4 linked regions of the Oryzias latipes genome follow. The main gene of each other region encodes a partner of the protein of the gene in region 4 in a complex. Links are inferred from orthologs where the notes say so. Each region holds a gene or a part of one and is shown on either strand. Other genes may lie near its edges.

What was found.
Region 1: the proteins of rab35 (region 4) and acap2 are in contact, whole or in part, in a crystal structure (PDB 6IF3), measured with the Homo sapiens proteins. The link is inferred for Oryzias latipes from reciprocal best matches to the Homo sapiens genes RAB35 and ACAP2. Residues at the interface, in NP_006852.1 of Homo sapiens: Arg3, Asp4, Tyr5, Leu8, Ile41, Gly42, Val43, Asp44, Phe45, Ile47, Lys58, Gln60, Trp62, Phe70, Arg71, Thr72, Ile73, Thr76, Arg79; in NP_036419.3 of Homo sapiens: Val715, Ala718, Asn719, Ala720, Asp721, Val723, Thr724, Arg727, Leu728, Arg730, Met731, Glu734, Met735, Ser738, Glu748, Thr749, Gln751, Arg755, Asp756, Gln759, Met760.
Region 2: the proteins of rab35 (region 4) and dennd1b are in contact, whole or in part, in a crystal structure (PDB 3TW8), measured with the Homo sapiens proteins. The link is inferred for Oryzias latipes from reciprocal best matches to the Homo sapiens genes RAB35 and DENND1B. Residues at the interface, in NP_006852.1 of Homo sapiens: Lys10, Leu12, Ser17, Ser36, Tyr37, Ile38, Thr39, Thr40, Ile41, Gly42, Val43, Asp44, Phe45, Gln60, Trp62, Thr64, Ala65, Gly66, Arg69, Phe70, Arg71, Thr72, Ile73, Thr74, Ser75, Thr76, Tyr77, Arg79, Gly80, Thr81; in NP_001182144.1 of Homo sapiens: Met1, Arg4, Glu43, Ser47, Phe51, Val72, Leu73, Thr74, Asp75, Ile76, Glu77, Ser78, His211, Glu212, Arg213, Arg214, Gln242, His243, Ile244, Ile246, Leu249, His252, Leu253, Asp255, Tyr256, Cys258, Ala259, Pro260, Met261, Pro262.
Region 3: the proteins of rab35 (region 4) and iporin-like are in contact, whole or in part, in a crystal structure (PDB 6IF2), measured with the Homo sapiens proteins. The link is inferred for Oryzias latipes from reciprocal best matches to the Homo sapiens genes RAB35 and RUSC2. Residues at the interface, in NP_006852.1 of Homo sapiens: Asp4, Tyr5, Leu8, Phe9, Lys10, Ser22, Leu26, Asp30, Ile38, Thr40, Val43, Asp44, Phe45, Lys46, Ile47, Lys58, Gln60, Trp62, Thr76, Arg79, Gly80, His82; in NP_001129471.2 of Homo sapiens: Val997, Lys998, Asn1001, Asp1005, Val1008, Thr1013, Arg1015, Lys1020, Glu1119, Glu1155, Leu1158, Leu1159, Gln1161, Pro1162, Leu1165, Leu1166.

Annotation. Positions count from the first base shown.
Region 1 is NC_019862.2:12,591,556-12,595,115, forward strand, and holds part of acap2 (arf-GAP with coiled-coil, ANK repeat and PH domain-containing protein 2), read left to right. Parts: intron 1-94; coding exon 95-148; intron 149-2,487; coding exon 2,488-2,546; intron 2,547-3,560. UniProt on the Homo sapiens protein: GTPase-activating protein (GAP) for ADP ribosylation factor 6 (ARF6). Doesn't show GAP activity for RAB35.
Region 2 is NC_019862.2:14,380,522-14,384,687, reverse strand, and holds the start of dennd1b (DENN domain-containing protein 1B), read left to right. Parts: upstream 1-1,346; 5' UTR 1,347-1,897; coding exon 1,898-1,914; intron 1,915-2,405; coding exon 2,406-2,470; intron 2,471-4,166. UniProt on the Homo sapiens protein: Guanine nucleotide exchange factor (GEF) for RAB35 that acts as a regulator of T-cell receptor (TCR) internalization in TH2 cells. Acts by promoting the exchange of GDP to GTP, converting inactive GDP-bound RAB35 into its active GTP-bound form.
Region 3 is NC_019867.2:448,244-452,322, reverse strand, and holds the start of iporin-like, read left to right. Parts: upstream 1-1,257; 5' UTR 1,258-1,443; intron 1,444-1,459; exon of another isoform or gene 1,460-1,937; intron 1,938-2,832; 5' UTR 2,833-2,949; coding exon 2,950-4,079. UniProt on the Homo sapiens protein: Associates with the adapter-like complex 4 (AP-4) and may therefore play a role in vesicular trafficking of proteins at the trans-Golgi network.
Region 4 is NC_019867.2:25,726,946-25,731,270, reverse strand, and holds the start of rab35 (ras-related protein Rab-35), read left to right. Parts: upstream 1-1,471; 5' UTR 1,472-1,742; coding exon 1,743-1,794; intron 1,795-3,717; coding exon 3,718-3,768; intron 3,769-3,874; coding exon 3,875-3,998; intron 3,999-4,325. Other genes in the region: eIF-2-alpha kinase activator GCN1, read left to right, coding at 1-21, 87-212. UniProt on the Homo sapiens protein: The small GTPases Rab are key regulators of intracellular membrane trafficking, from the formation of transport vesicles to their fusion with membranes.

The sequences.
Region 1 (3,560 bases), on a different chromosome or scaffold from region 4:
ATCATTTTTTATTTTATTTGTTCTTCATAGATGGGGTTGCCACAGGCATGTCCTCAATGTACCTGAATTACTGTCTTCTCCCTTTTTTCCACAGTCTAGTCTCACAAAGTTTGCAGAGAGCCTGCAGGAGATGATCAATTATCACACGGTACGTCATCACTTATTTAAAGAGGATGGGTTTATGTACTGTTACAGCTTCTGTTGAAATTTATTTGTGGAAAAGAGCTGCAGAGGAAAGCGTAGTTGCGGCCCAAACTCTTTGAAGAAAAAGGATTAAACATGTTTTCTTTTAGATATATACTTTGTGGTTTAAAGTGAGCAAAGTGGCTGTCGTCTAACTTCACTCTGAAGCAGGCTCTGCAAGGAAAAAAATGGGCCTTTCCTGGTCTTTTATTTTAAACAATGGCCAGTTTATTACTTTTTTTGACTGTTCTGTCCAACAGCTAAGCAAGCAGATTAGAGCTGAAAGCCATTTGTGTTGGACAGGTTTTACCATCACAAAAACAGGTTATAGAACTTCAAGAAACTAGAGTGTAGATTTGTATAAACCCCTTTTTGTTGTATTATTTTTATTTATTAGTTACATTTAGTGTGTGGGGGGAGGGAGAGGGGAAGAATGTGAGAGGGGGGGTGGAAGAGAGTAAAAGGAAGAGAGCTGAGAAAGTGGGGGATACAAGTACTGATTTGAATAAGTCATTATTTTAAGCTGTAACAATTATACCAGATCTGCTGGAAAGACAAATATTACATCAAAGGTGAAATTCTGACACGAAGATGAGCGGAAAATGTCTGTCCATCAATACACTGTGGGTTAGGAGGAGGGATGAAGCAGACAGGGAGCAGTGTGGCAGTGTGCACGTGCACGTGGGGGTGGAGATACATGCATGCTGCCGACGTGAACCGTGTGTGCATAAGGGGAACCAGCCAGCCAGAACGGGAGAGGGGAGGAGAGACCCCCAGGCCAGGAGCGCCCCGGCATCGGGACTCAAGCAGCCCGGGAGGGGGGGGGGTTTGGTTTCAGTTTATTACTGAAAGCAAAGGAAAGAAAAAGAAATGAAAACTGAAATATTCAGGGGTTTTGTCATTAAAAGGTAGATAGGCCTTCAAAAAATGACAGAAATCAGAACTGAGAAGAGATATTTGCCAAAGATTTGTTGGAGAATTTGTGAACTGCCAAAAGAATCTTTGAAATCTGTTTTTATACAAAGACATTGATGAAAAAAAGCCGCAATTTTAATTCTGTTTAACTTCACACAAAAATAAAGTGTCAACATTTCGACTGAAATGTTGCTTATTCAACAAATATAATGCCAATAACTGTAATTAGACACAATTTTATAAAAACTCTTTAGAAATGGTTAATTGAGAGGTGCACTGATAACCCAGATTATGTTAACTCCTGTTAGATTAACAATAAGCATGTCTACATTTAAAAAGTTAATATAATCCCAGTGGTTCAATTTTATGACCACCAAGATGTAAAGAAACATCCCTGTCATGTTTGACCTTTCTAAATTTGTTTAACCAAGATTAATTGTACATTTATGTTTTATCTTACTAGGACTACTGATAACTTTATATTATATTGAAAAGTATGCTGATAGCGTTCTACTATATTGACCTTTTCATTCCCATGACAACCTAATATGACATGTCCCTAAGTATAATTTATTTACAATTTTTCAGGAATTCTTTAAAAAATGTTTAAAGAAATACCATACAAAACTACTGACCACTTTAAATTCTATTATTATTATTGTTTTACTAATATTTTCTGTAAAAATACATTCACATTCGCTTTTTACAACCTTATTTCTGTGGCAAATGAGTTCTTAAATAAAAAAGATGTCTTTGATGTTTTTTACACAAAGAAAAGCAATGTGGGAGGAAGACCACAGTGACTTAGTGACTGAGTTTTCACCACGTCCTCCTCCTAACCTTCCAGTCTCCTCTACCAGGAAGTCTCCAGGAGCCGCAGTGCAGGCCTGCAACTCTTACTCATCACAGGAGACTCTGACCACATCAGCTGACTGTCTGATAGCTTTTTGCCACTCAGCGATCTTCTGGTGCATATTGGTTTTTCCCTGCCACGCAGCTCATGTTGGCTTTTCTTGGAGCAAAAGATCAATTAAAAGTCCTTATTAGGAAAACAAACAAAACTAGTGTGTTTCGGTGAAACTCATTTTTAAGGAAACGTGAGTTAATGAGAGTATAAGTCAAATACAGAAAACGACCCACCACATCATGTCTTCTGTTTATGTCTTTTATGAGGGGATTTTACTGAGTCAGCTTGTTTGTGTAAATTTAACAGCTTAATTGCACCCGCTGTTGTTAACAAAGCCTCTTTAGACAGAAATGCTGAATGCTAAAGTGGCCTTGAAAAGGAATGTATTTATCAGCTTTTTTCCTGAGTTTCAGACTGTGTTATCCTGTTTGTGCCTCAATTTTCCATCGAGTTTCTAAAAAGTCAAACTCTTTTCTTTACAGATATTGTTTGATCAGGCCCAGAGATCCATAAAAAATCAGCTGCAAACATTTGTTAAAGAGTGAGTATCAATTTAATAATTAAAAACTGGGGGAAAAAAAGTTTTTGATCTACAAAATGTCTGTTCTGTATGCTCACATCTTGGAGAAATTTGTATCAAAATATCAATTTATTGCTTGTTATTCTTACCTTAAAAGATAAGATTGTTTGTATGGTAAATAGTGGTGCCTGATGATTTTTTTTATTATTCGACTTTTATAATCACTATTTGCCTAATGTTGTATATTCCATGTTTTGTAATAAAAAAAGTATGGGGATCTGTCAATAAGAAAAATTTTCATAAAGACAAAGTTGTGCACAAATTAATAATCTTTGCACAACTTTGCAAAAAAAATATAAATACAAATTTAGTTTTACGTTTAGCTTGTCTGTTTTGAACACGATTTTTCTTTGTTTTGAATTTGACTCTTGCTTGTCTTGAATACGAAATTTCCCCGTTAACAAACTGTCAAAAAAACCTTGCGGGGTCACAGGTGTAAACATCGAGTCCCGAAACATCGATTGTGTTTAACGTTTTTATAATTAGCTATAATAATACTTAAAAAAAATGTGACCTAAAAAAAATTTCAGTTGTCCTGATATAGTTATTGTTCACCTTAAACTCAGAAAGAAGAAAAACTTTTTTTCACAGCCTGGGGCCTCATTTATAAAACTTTGCGTAGGATTTGCGTCAGAAGTGGCGTACGGATGAAACGTAGGACGTGCGTACGCACAGAAATATTCAGAGTTATAAAACCGTGCGCATGCACATCCTACGCATCTTTCCCTTAATAAATCACAACCAATTCTAAATGCTGCGCAGCTTTTGCGGCCTCATCACACGCCCATAGTTGCCCATAAATAGTCCGTGAAACGCCCACAAATGAATATTCATTGATTGCGAAACCATGCCAAACACGGAGAGAAAATCAAAAAAACGTAACTTCACTCAATGTGAAGTAGAAGTTATCGTTGGCGAGGTGGAAAAGAGGAGAAAAGTGTTGTTTGGAGGGCACAGTGTGGGCATTACTAATGC
Region 2 (4,166 bases), on a different chromosome or scaffold from region 4:
ACAACCCACCTTTTCCCCTCCTGAGAAAACCCCCGAACAAATGACTGAGAGGAACATTATCAGAATCAGAAAGAGTTAATTGCCAGTATGTGCATATATATAAAAAATTTTGATTGGAGTGCTCGGCCTGACAAATGAAATTAAGTGAAAATTGTAGCAGCAAGAGTAGTTAAATAGTGGCGCAATAAAATCACAACTGTGGCAAGCACCTCAGCTTTTGTGCAAAAGCATATTAGTCATACTTTAGAGCAGGGGTCCCACAATCATTGAGAGGCCTTGAGGGTTGGTGCCGTGTGTTTTCCAACCAACCTCCCATTTTAAAGCTCCTTTTTTGGCTAAACTCACCTGATCCACGTAATCATCACCAAATAAGGCAGTTGAAACAATTGGACATTTAGGCCATGTGCCAGTCCTGCACTTAACCAACTGAGCCATCCAGCTGGTGAACAACATTGATTAAGCAAACATTTTGAATGCAAATCACCATTTGTTACTTTGTAATCAGTAATGGTCAAACGCTTGGAAGTATGAGATCAGTGAAGTCTCACTCTGATCATATTTTTAGCCCAACTCGAAACTCCTTTTCTGGGAAGTAATTTCTGCAGCAGTAGTTCATCAAAAATTTGCCTATGAGTTGTGGGCGGAAATGTTGGCATGAGTAAGCACCCCCCCCCCCCCCCATTTCCCATCATCCATTGGTTTCCAGTCTCTCCGGCTACCTTACAGCCCCTCACACCCCCAACCTAACCTCATCGCGAGCAATATTGATGCTATCCAGCTGTCCAGTTTTCAGCCAGGTACCAGCTCAGACGAGGAAAACCAAGACGTACATTGATTTAGTCATCCACAGTGGATGGAGCTGGTGGCCTGCTCATTGTAGCTTCTACATCACAGCTATGATCTTTTTTTAAATGCATTTTTTTGTCTGCTCCTGATTCACAACAATTTGAATAAAGAAATACTCTGAACTGCAATTTTAATCTTTATTTTCTTAACATATGTCCTCCATCAAAAAAATATCACAAGTTGAAAACAGCAGAAACACAATCTTCTTGAGAGTGAGTCTTTAACCTGAAAGGACAATAGTGTCTAAACTTTGAGCAATTATGGAAACAGTCACTTTTGAAAAGTAATATATACAGCATATTGATATATGAAGCAGTGCAAAAATATATAAATATATGTGAATACATTCATATTATTATATTTAAAAATAATTAAATGCTGTAGAATTGAATACCCTTAGCAAAAACCAGTACTCTTGAAGTTGATAAATAGGAACATTTCCAATTTATAGATAGTTTATAAAAAGTAAGGTTCAAGTACGCTGCTTCACTTTTAGTAACTACTTAGATGAACAAAAAGAGCACCTCAAATGACCCAGTCGACCTTTGTCATGGTATACTAAATACATATGTAGTAGTTTGATTCAGCACGTGAGTAACGCGTTTGTGTTTAGGGACGTTCTTTGTAAAGTGAATGCTAAAAACTAAGTATGAAAATTATAAAAAATATAGGTTAAATAAAGCATTTCAAACAACCTTCCATTTGGACTCCTTTCATATTGAAGACTCGCGCCACCGTAAGAAGCTGTGCCCGCGCGACGCGCTGACGTCACCAAATCTTTGACAGAACTTCCTGGAGTGGGATTTGTTGTGGGAAATAGTCACGGTGGTGCTGAATTGTGGGTTTCACAGCAGGCCACATATACGATAGAAAAGACAGCCTACACTGCGACATTCCGCCACCTTCAAACATGAGGTCATTGCAGCTCTCTGTCGGGATCAGATGAGACGTCGGAGGACGTGACAGCTGAGACAGAGGAAGGACGGGGTGCTTACATTCACGCAGCAGAGCCGCCGACAGCACGGAGCTGTCGGGATGTTGTAACCAAACCATGGACTGCAGGATAAAGTAAGCCCTTCGAGTTTCGTGTGCGCCTGTCGTCCCTCCGCCGACAGCGGTCGTGCTAACGGCTAACGTGGGGGCGAAGACACGTAGCGTTAACCCGGAGCCGCATGCCATGTGCAGGAATGTTTAGCGTAATTCGTGCCATCTCCAGCAGTGGATTTAACTGCCAGGCCAGCTGGCTCGACAGCATTATTTGGGTCAGTCTGTTGTTGTTAACTACCTGAACGTCAATTAGCGGACCGACAGCTTTAGTAATTAGTCAACGTGGAAATGAAGCAAAACACCCAGTGACCCACTAGTTAGTCAGGTTAACGCTTTTATGGTTAGATAACGCAACTTAAATATTAGTACTTGTTGAATATCTGCCTAATTTATACAGTATATTGTTATTTGCACGTGCGCAGAATCGTTTTAAACGGATCTCTTTAGGCGTTATTATCACACCACCAGCACCTGCAGTCAGTCCTCTCATCAAACACCCTTTTGATTTTCAGGGAGAATCCAGAAAGAACATTTGATCTGGTGTTGCAAGTGGCATGTCCAACATCTGAGAATGAGGGTAGGTAGTTCACACAGCTCACTATCATGAGTTCAAACCATTAAAAAAAAAAAAAAAAAATGAATAAAGTTTTACATTTTATTTTGGAAACCGGAATTTTTTATTTGATGATATCCAATGTTTCCACTTACCATATTCCATTTTTGCTAAAAGATCATTATGTCCCATAAACTGTTTCTAACGCCAGCAGTTGTTAGCAAGCAGAACAACACAAAAATCCTAGTCTTTATTTATTTATTTATTTTTTATTTATTTATTTTCTTTAGGTTAGGGATCTGCAACCTTTATGCTAAAAGAGCCATTTTGGTCCAGTTTCTTATTGACCAAAACCTAAGTTCCCTTCAAAATAAAATAGCCGGTGTCAAAAGGGATTCTCCTGCTTCAGCAGATTTTATTTGAATTAAAAATTCAAGAAAACCAAATTAAACATGACCTTTCTACAATTGTGACTTTGATGCACCATCATCCTTTTTCTCATTTTACTATCCAATATAAACATGCCTCATTGATTTTTAAACAAATGTATATGTGCATTAAGCTTCTTCTAATTATAGAAACCACTCTTACCAATATTTTTCTCAGTTATGTTAAAGTTCTAAATATAAATGACAGAACCGAATTAGCTACAAGAAACTAACAAAACAGTCATTTTTCTTCTCATAAATGGTTAGCATTTTTCTCTAAAGCCAAAGAGTCACAATAGATGGATGGAGGAGCTCTTGAGCCTCAGGTTGCAGACCCCCTGATTTAGGTGAAAAATCGCTTTTTGTCCAAAAAGTAATTTATTAAATCATATTGTTGAAAAAAAGTTTACTTTAATATATGTTATCACACAAACGTGGTTGTGTCTACTTGAATGCTAAAATGATGGCTTTAGTGTAGTCTGTTATTTTAGTCATTGTTTGAGTGTGCACTGTTACATTAACGTGAGAAAGTAGGGTGACTGTGGATAATGAGAGTAGTGATTATGGCTGTTGTCATATAATTTTAGTCTGCTTCTTGAATCACTCTGTCAAGCACAAGACTCTGAAATCTGTATGAAACATAAGTTGGCTTATGATCTTATGATATCGGTTTACAGTGCGTGTCTTAGGATAAATACACTTTTATGTGTGCTTACTTTTGCAACTATTGCCCCACTTAGTTTTTTAAAATCTTATGGTGGATTGATTTGCCACTTGCAGTGGTTAAACATTCCAGCACCGATGGCCTGTATAATAAACCTTGAAATGAATGCGGTCAGTGAAGAATAACTCTTCTCTGCTTTTTATTAATATGGGAAATAAAGTAACGGGAATTTCACATCAATATCCAGTGGCATTTGTAAGTCAATTGTAATGTAAAAACATTTTCACTGCTTATTGCACCCACTCTCCTGTTTTGGCCTTTCAGTTCAGACTTTAAAGAGGTGTTATTGGATGCTTCACTTGTGCAGCTGCTGAGCTGACTTGAGCAGACGGACTGAAAGTTGTCCTTGGGTGTAGTTCTCATATTGGATTTTCAACCGAACTCATAAACCGCCGGCCTTTGCTGTAATAACTGACTTCCTTCATGTGTGATCTGGGGTCAGACTCATATCCGGACTCCTGTTCCCTGGAGCATAGCTGCAGAGCAACGTTTGCACGCCTCGGGTCAAGTTGAAAACACAGATTCGACTGGATCATTCCAGGTGCTCTCTCTGTTCAGACATCTGATT
Region 3 (4,079 bases), about 25 Mb from region 4:
TGTTCAGGTTTCTTCACCAAAACTATCTGGGCTTCATTTCCCGGCACATTCTGGAGAAAAATGGGACTTTTAGTTTGGTGGTTTGCCTGTACGGTTCTGAAGGACCAATAGCAGAACAACACAGATGACGCTCGAAACTGACAGAAAATGTGACATGGCTTTGGTTATAACCACACCTGTGATGTGAGAACGTGAGAACCCCTTCAACGGGTTCTATTCTAGGCAGGTAAAGGCAGCTGTTCCTCTGTGTGACGGTTCTGAAGGACCAGAACCACTGGTGGATTTTCTTTGGGTTGAAACTTTTTCACAGAAGGAAATAGTTTCTATGGAAGAGGAAACACAAAGAATGTATGTCCCTGAAAGACAGATGTACAGAACGGAGACGCTCGTCCTGCCCAAAGGGTCCCACAGAGACCAGAAACTAGATCTACTGACACCTTTATGCCAAAGTCGCCGTCGTTTAGGTTTAAAGATGCTCTTATTGGTATTTTGGTGGAGACTGAGCTCAGAATCATCAGAAAACACTGATGCTCTGATCCCAAACAAACGCCAGAGCTTCTCGCTGTCATGGTCTCTGCTGTCGGTCCAGCTTCACGTCTCCCACGTCATGTTATGGGCGGGGCGCGGGGGGCACATGCCTGAAGGAAATCACTATTTTCATAATTAACAATGTCTGGATGTTACAGACAGCTTCATTTAGGATGAATTCAGCACTATACTGCTGGACACTTAGCCATCTGTCCGTCCATCATTTTCTGGACCTGCATTATCCCTATTAGGGCCATGTGGTTGCTGGAGCCTATCCCAGCCACCACTGGGTGAAGGTGGACCGGTCCCCTCTGCAGGAACGTTCACCCTGAAGGGGCAGTTTGGGGTCTCCAATGCAGCTATGCAGCATGATTCTGGACTGTGGGAGGAGCCTGGAGAACCCACACATGAAGAACATGCAAACTCCACACAGAGTGAACCCTGATGGGATTTGAACCTGTGGCAGGGGAGTGGAAACCACTACCCCAGCGTCCAGTCCAGCCAACAGACCATCACATTCACATAGCCCCTCCTTCTCAGAGTTTTGCCCCTCCCATTAGCCCTCTTAATTGATCTTAATTGACCCTCAAAGTGATTGGGGAGGGGGGTCAGCAAAGTGGCAGGCCGTGGTCATGTTGGGGGGGGGGGGCAGTGTGACCTTGGCCTTTGATGTTGTTTGTCTGCCGCTGTGCGTAAATAACGGGTTTCGGTGCAGGAGGTGGAGCTGGTGGAGTGACCGGCAGGGTGGGGGCCAGCTGCCCACCCCCGCAGTTGGATAATCTGGTGTGGGACGACAGAGCGACCTCGCGCTGACGTGAGGCATGCGCCCCTCCCATCCCACGCCGCCTCCACCGGAGAAAACAACGGAGAGCAGCAGCTCCGTCATCTCTGCTTCCCGCCGTCGTTGTTATCACGGTAAGAGGAGAAATAACAGCTTACGTTGGTGTCCGGTAAGAGCAGGGCGGAGGCCCGTTAAACGCCACCGTTCGTGCGCGCGCGTCAGTAAAGGACGTGTCTGTGAATCTTCAGCACCGACATTTTTCCTGGATGACTTCGAACGGCTTTTAACTTAACGGCGTTTAACGGTTCGTAACGGCGTTTGTAACGGGGAGCTCGTCAAGCAGCTGGGGCGGCTGCGTGTTACGCCTGCTGGCTTCTTACGTCATCGCTGCTGTTTCTGCGTTTCTCTGCGGGTTTCTAGAATCTGCGGGTCGCTCTGGAATGGCTCAGTCGGTCCTTTCATCTCCTTTCATCCGCGGGAAAACAATGACATAACGCGGCCTCGTCAGCGGCCTTCATCCAGGGGCGGCTCCGCGGTTTCCGGGGATCAAGGTGGGCAGGAGCCATTGTTGAAAGGGGGGACAACAGGAAGTAACTGAACCCCCCCACCTGAAGACATTTCCCTTCAGGTGTGTTTCAGCGCCGATTCTATCAGGAGTTTCATGTTTAATAAGGTCTCAGACGTCAATCAAGCAGGAAACATGTTTTATTATCTGATCAATGAATGTCTTTTCATTGCTTTTTTAAAATCTCTTTTGTGAAACTAGCTTTCACCAGATTTCTCTTCAGTGATTTTGACAAGTTTCCTTTGAAGTTTGGTTGCTGAAGCTGTCGGGACGTTTGGTGCCTTTTAACTCGTCTTGCTCATTACCGGTTTATGCTGATCCCATCACGGAGCTTTTCCAGGATTAGAGCCTCAGACTCTCTCAGACGTCAGACGTACGTCTTTTTCCTCTGTAGTCCCCCCCCCCCGGTCAGGTCCACGTCTGTTGGAGCTGGAAGATTGTTTTGGTGGAGGTTCTGGTGGTCTTGCAGATCCTTGTAACGGTTCTGGTTCTGTTAGGGCTTTGCATCAGAATACTGTCTTTGTGTAAGACTTCCATCTGGAATCAGTCCCGGTGAGGTGAGGAGGACGTCCCGCAGAGGAGGACGTCCTCTTGAAGACGTCCCCCTGAGGACGTCCTTTATGTGACCAGCTCATACCCTTTAGGCCTGTGTTTTGTTGTCTTTGACCTCCTGACCTTTTACCGCTCAAATGTAGCTCCTCCCACCCTATTAAGCTTTCAGTTTAGGGCACATGCAGGCAGTGGCCCTGTGGTGGAGTGTCTGTCCCTTGGGTTACATCTGGTGGTGCCAAAGACAAAAGTAGACTCTTTGCATTGGTGGTTGGATTGGGGGGGTTGACTCACAGAGTATGGCTGTAGCTGCTCCCTGTGTGTGTGTGTGTGTGTGTGTGTGGGGGGGGGGGGTGCATCAGGTGCTGGGACTCAAACCATAACTGACCCACGGTCTGTCTTTTGGCAGATGCCCCCCACCGCAGACCTTCCTGACCCGTCCTTCCAGACGTCTGGGATTCCCGCAGAGCCGGGCGCCGCCTGAAAACCGCCACCGTTTCCCTGCGCCTCCAGTCGGCTGTGGACCATGGACGGCCCCCCCCAGCTGTCTGGGGAGACCCTGATCGTGCATCACATCCCGCTGGTGCACTGCCAGGTGTCGGGGGGCCGGCAGGGAGACTGTGGGAACTCGCTAAGGAGCGGCAGCCCCTTCAGCCCCCCAGAGAACCTGGGGCTGAGCCGCACCACCTCCCTGCCGGAGCGAGATGTCCTCCAGAGAGAAGCTCTGCTCTACAGCAGCCTGATCCACACCTCCAGCAGCTCCTGGTCCTCCCACTCCGGAGGAGGAGCAGAAACAAAGAGGGGGGGCAGCACGGCCAGTGGAAACTCGTCTTTTACTTCCAGTATTTCAGAGGAGCAGCTCCCTGCTGTGCACACGCTTCCCAGAGCCAAACCCCGGAGCGAGACCCCTTCACGCCACAACCCCTTCCTGCTGCACGCAGAGGAGGAGGAGGAGGAGGAGGAGGAGGAGGACCACAGCCTGAGTGGATACCTGGAGGACTCCTCCTTCCTCCTCCACAGCGACACTAGCGGTGTCGGTGGGACGGCTGCCTTTCATTTGCACCATCTGGACTTTGCTGCTGAGCCTTTTGTTTTGCACGGATCGGAGGGAAAGAGGCGGGACTCCTTTAGGGGCGTGGCCTCTGACCTGGACAGCCGGCGCTGCCTGGGAAGCAGCGGCTCCAACACGTCCATGGACTGTGGAGAGCAGGACTGGGCGGACGACAACGAAGTCGAGGATCAGTCCATGAGGTGCGGCCGATGCAGCAAGCCGGGTTCGGACTCGTCGGGGTCGACCTCGCAGCTCTGCTCCTTCTGCGACCCGACGCACTGCCAGCACAACTTCCCCGACGCCTTCTCCGACTTCCAGCCGGCCTACGGCAGCGACTCGTCCTGCAACAGCTCCGACGGCGTCCTGGTCAACTTCAGCGCCATCTTCAACAAGATGAACAATGGCATCCGTGAGAAACCGGCCCGGTCCGGTTCAGCCAACTTGAACCTCGAGGGTTTCGAGGGGCCGGGCCAGACTGCAGGAGCTTTCTACCTGGACCTCCACACTTCGCCAACTGAGCCTCTGCAGCCCCCCCCCTGCCTGTCCAACAACCTCCCCGTCTCCTCCACCTGCTCCTGCTCTGCCGAGTACCAGGGGGCTCTGGA
Region 4 (4,325 bases):
CATGGAGAGGAGACATTACAAGTAAGTGAGGCTTCTGTTTAAACACTCTTTCTCGTTTTCAGATTTTTAATCATTTGATTTTTCAGAGTGTCACTGCCATTCTGGACTCAGCAAGTAACGATCTGCTGTCAGAATGTCACCGCCGCTCACTAAAGAAAATCGCCAGCCTGCCAGACTCCAATGAAGAAATCGACGACACTATTCTGACATGAGGCGGGAATTACCGACGAAATCAAACCTACCCAGATCGACAAAAGTTCCACAACTTCAGACACACTCAGTGGACAATCTCATTCTGTCCTGCGTGGGCTTGTTGGGAGATGAGCTTTGTTGGTTGAGGTCTTCACGCATACCAGAAATTTCTTTTCTTTCTCAACTTTACATCATCATTTTAGAGGCTTTTAAGCCCAATTTCTTTTTAGTTTTGTTCCTCTCATGTGCAGGTTATTTTCCTGTACTGAACTTTATTTGACAGCCACAATGCCAAATCGGTTTTGATACTTAAGTGTTTTGCTACCTATTTTACCAAAAAAAAAAACATCTGGGATGCCTATGTCATAAAACAACTCCCCATCTCTAACTTTTATTTGGACTTTGTGTGTGACAGTTGTTTGGGAAAGAAACCCATTAAACAACAATCATTGTTATCAATGATAAAGTTGTACAAAGTGATGCAAAATAATAATAAAAAAACATTCACAAAACTGTGCGGAATAATGATTTTCCTCTGTTGGCTGTTGAAAGTCCCACACCGATTATCTTTTGATCTATCTTAAAAGTGTTCCCAGTGGTCTTTAAATTATGAAAAATCTGTTGTTTTCTAGAACATAGTTTCTGCAGAGCGGCAGTAGTTCATTAAAAGTCAACAACCCTCTTAGTCTGTTGGTGCAGAGTAAGCCTTCCATCATTTCCCATCATCCCTTTATTTACACACCCCCTCACAACCCCAATCTACCATTACCGCTGCAACAAAAATGGCGAGTAATATTAGAGCTATCCTGCTGAACAGTTCAGTTTGGAGCCAGACGCCAGCTCAGACGAGGAAAACGAAGACGTTGATGGATCTGTTTGTCTTCATCCAAATGGAGGTGGGCATGGAGCAAATGGCCTACAGGTGACTGGAGCTACAGTGTCACTGCTACAAGATTTTCGTCAGCTCCTGATTCACAACGATTTAAATAAAGAAATACTCAGAAATGCAGTTTCAATCTTAATTTTATGTCTGTCAGAAAATGTAACAAGAACATGATAAAAAAAATACGATTTTTAGTGGAATGGGTCTTTAAAACATTTAGGCTATACCTGTTGATAAAACTGATACACCCTACACTTTGTCGCAAAGTTGTAGATACAATCAGGCTCTTTTGTACATAAATATGCGTGTGAAACCTGGCTGTCCTGCAGCCTCCAGCGTCCCTGTAACCTGCGCTCATCAGTGGGACGTGACGGTGGCGCTGTGGCTGGGGCCTGCGCAGTGGGGCTGGGTCATACTTGGGTGCAGCTCTACCAGAGAAGGAAGCGGAGTTTCCGGCTGTTTGCAGCGGAGTGAGAGGGTTGCTGACGCCGCGAAACCCCGAGGAAGAAGAACGCCGCCGGCTCGGGGGGCCATTAGCTTCATGCATTGATAGTGGCCGGTTGGTTTTATACCGGGAGGTTGTTGAATTGTTTACAAACTTGAGGAGTGGTGCAGCTAATCAAAGGAAGAAGCGGCACAAGGCGGGGGTGAGCTACTAGCTACCGGCATGGCCAGAGACTACGATTACCTCTTCAAGCTGCTCATCATCGGTGACAGCGGTAAGCAGATGCCGGGGATGCGACACGGGAAGTAGGCCTTGTCGGGGTTTCTTTATGAAAAAATCCTTTTAATCGGGAGGGAAAACAGAAACAGTCTGCTACGCCTTCGTTTATTTATTTATTTCGATTTATGTGAAGAAATAAGTATCAAAGAGACAGCCGCCATGTTTCTCTTTCTGTGCCGGTGACAGGGCGGAGGTTGTGTGTCCGGACAGGCACGGCGTGTCAGCCGATCAGGCCGGATACCGCCTACAGATATTCATGGTCCAAGTCAGAAATATTTGAAATTTTCCGCTTTTTTAAATCGGCATATTTTTGTTTTAGCCACACACCAGCTCACTCCGTTTCTCGTGTACCCACGTGAACCAGAACACTCATATTTTGCTGCTTGTTTGTTTTCACCGTAGCTAAAATGTTGGCTAACTTGTAGCTAGGCTAATGTCACGATTTCAGACCTGGTACCGTGGAAAACCACAATTTAACCTGTTCCTTAAAAAAACTGTTTGCTTAGAAATGATCCATAAAAGTGGACTACGTTCACATATTTAGATGAAGCCATTTAGATGAATTTTGTTGGGTAGCCAGCTTGCTAACACGAAAGTATCAGGCAGCTCCTTCGTAAAGGAGGATTGCTGCACTGCAGACGGTGGTTCCAAGCTGAAGTGAGACTAACCAAGTGGTTAGTTTCAACTAAGCCTAAAAGTGCCACAAATATGTCTATTAAACTGTTCAGCTTCAATAGAAGATGTTTGATTCCTGTGTTATAATGAAAACCTGTGTCTCACTGACATACATAGCTCGATGCTGGAGGCCGGTTGTAAATGAGATTACTCCACTAGCGCTCATCAAATCAAACTAACAAAAAAGGGACTTTTCCCATTTGACTCCAACATCAGGAGCAGATGCCAATTGGAAGTCTTTGTGAGCAGTAATCTTTGCTTTCATTGACAGCCCCATTCCTGGCACTGCTGCTCCATCATCAGCTGGGCGGTCAGTCAGTGTGATGAACACAGAAGCCAGTGTGCACAGCTGCAAAAAGCAGGCATCATCTGGGAAAGATGTGCTAACCCTCTGCACCTATCCTATGTAGCATTAACAAATACACCGCTGCTATGTTGTCCAACAAACTACCTTGGCTTATGTTGGAGGGATTTTAAATATAGATCAATTTTGTAACAAATATGATTCACTACTTTATTAAGAATCATCCAGTTATTGAAGCTCTAGGCTGCAGATGCTGGTGCTTTAAGTTTGGCTGGTTCTGTTGCATCGAGTGTTTGTCAGGGATTTTTGGTTTGGAGAGCGGATGAGCGTTCATAGTCAGTCCCTCCTGCTATGAAGTGTGGTTATTATTCGATCAAACAAATCTTTGCCGAGTAGGGATTGCAGGAACCTCAGAGCTTCTATATTAGGACCTAAGAAAAAAGCAGCTGACAATGACACTAAAAGGAATAAATACATGTCCTGACTACAGTCTTAATTTGAACTTCTAATCAAAAATAGAATCTGTGAAGGACACCTTATAGATCCTCTTGACTTCCACTTCCCCCCCTCCGGTTTATTTATTTTGTTACTAGTGTATTTGGTGTTTTGACCATCATCTTTCCATCTGATTGAGTATTCTTCTATTAAAAAATAAAGTATAATGTGACCTTTTTTTTTTACCTCACTGTGTAAATCAATCCTTATATGCAGAAGGATTACACCACTGTTGATGTTCCCACACTTGCTGCCTTAAAATGTTGCAGGTAGATTATATGGTGGCATGTAAAATCCCCTAAAACTTCTGAAACTACCGTGAGGTTTTGTTGGACAGATTCCAGTCAAATCCTGTTGAAAAATGTTGGTAAAAGTGGTGTGTGTGTGTCTTGATGTCATATATCTGCGTGAAAACCTCTTCCTGTGCTTGTGTTTCCTCTGCAGGAGTGGGGAAGAGCAGTCTCCTCCTGCGATTTGCAGACAACACATTTTCAGGTGTGTGGCTCTGTCTCGGCTGTGACTCAGACTCGAGGCTTTCGACATTACCACTGCTTCTCAGTCAAACTTTTTGTTGTCGTGGTTTTCTATTACCGTTTTATAGGTAGCTATATCACCACGATCGGTGTAGACTTTAAGATCCGGACAGTGGAGATCAACGGGGAGAAGGTGAAGCTTCAGATCTGGGACACGGCAGGGCAGGAGCGCTTTCGCACCATCACCTCCACGTACGTAGATTTACACTTAACCTTTCATGAAACCAGGTAAAGCTCTTTGTGGTTTTTGGATTGGCTTTCATATCAGCAGTTGGCTGACGTCTACAGCCACTCTTTTTTTTTTTTTTTTTTTTTTACTGTGAAACTGGGTGTATTTCCCTTCTTTTTGTAATTACAGATGTAAAAGGGAGGCTCCTACATGGTGGCAGCAGCTGTGTCTTTTTATTTGTGTTACAAAGTTGTCCAGAAGCTTCCATATGTTGCCAACATTAATTTTTCTTTAAAAAAAAAAGAGGAAATTAGTTTGTCACATCAACAGACTAAACCATTTCTGCCATA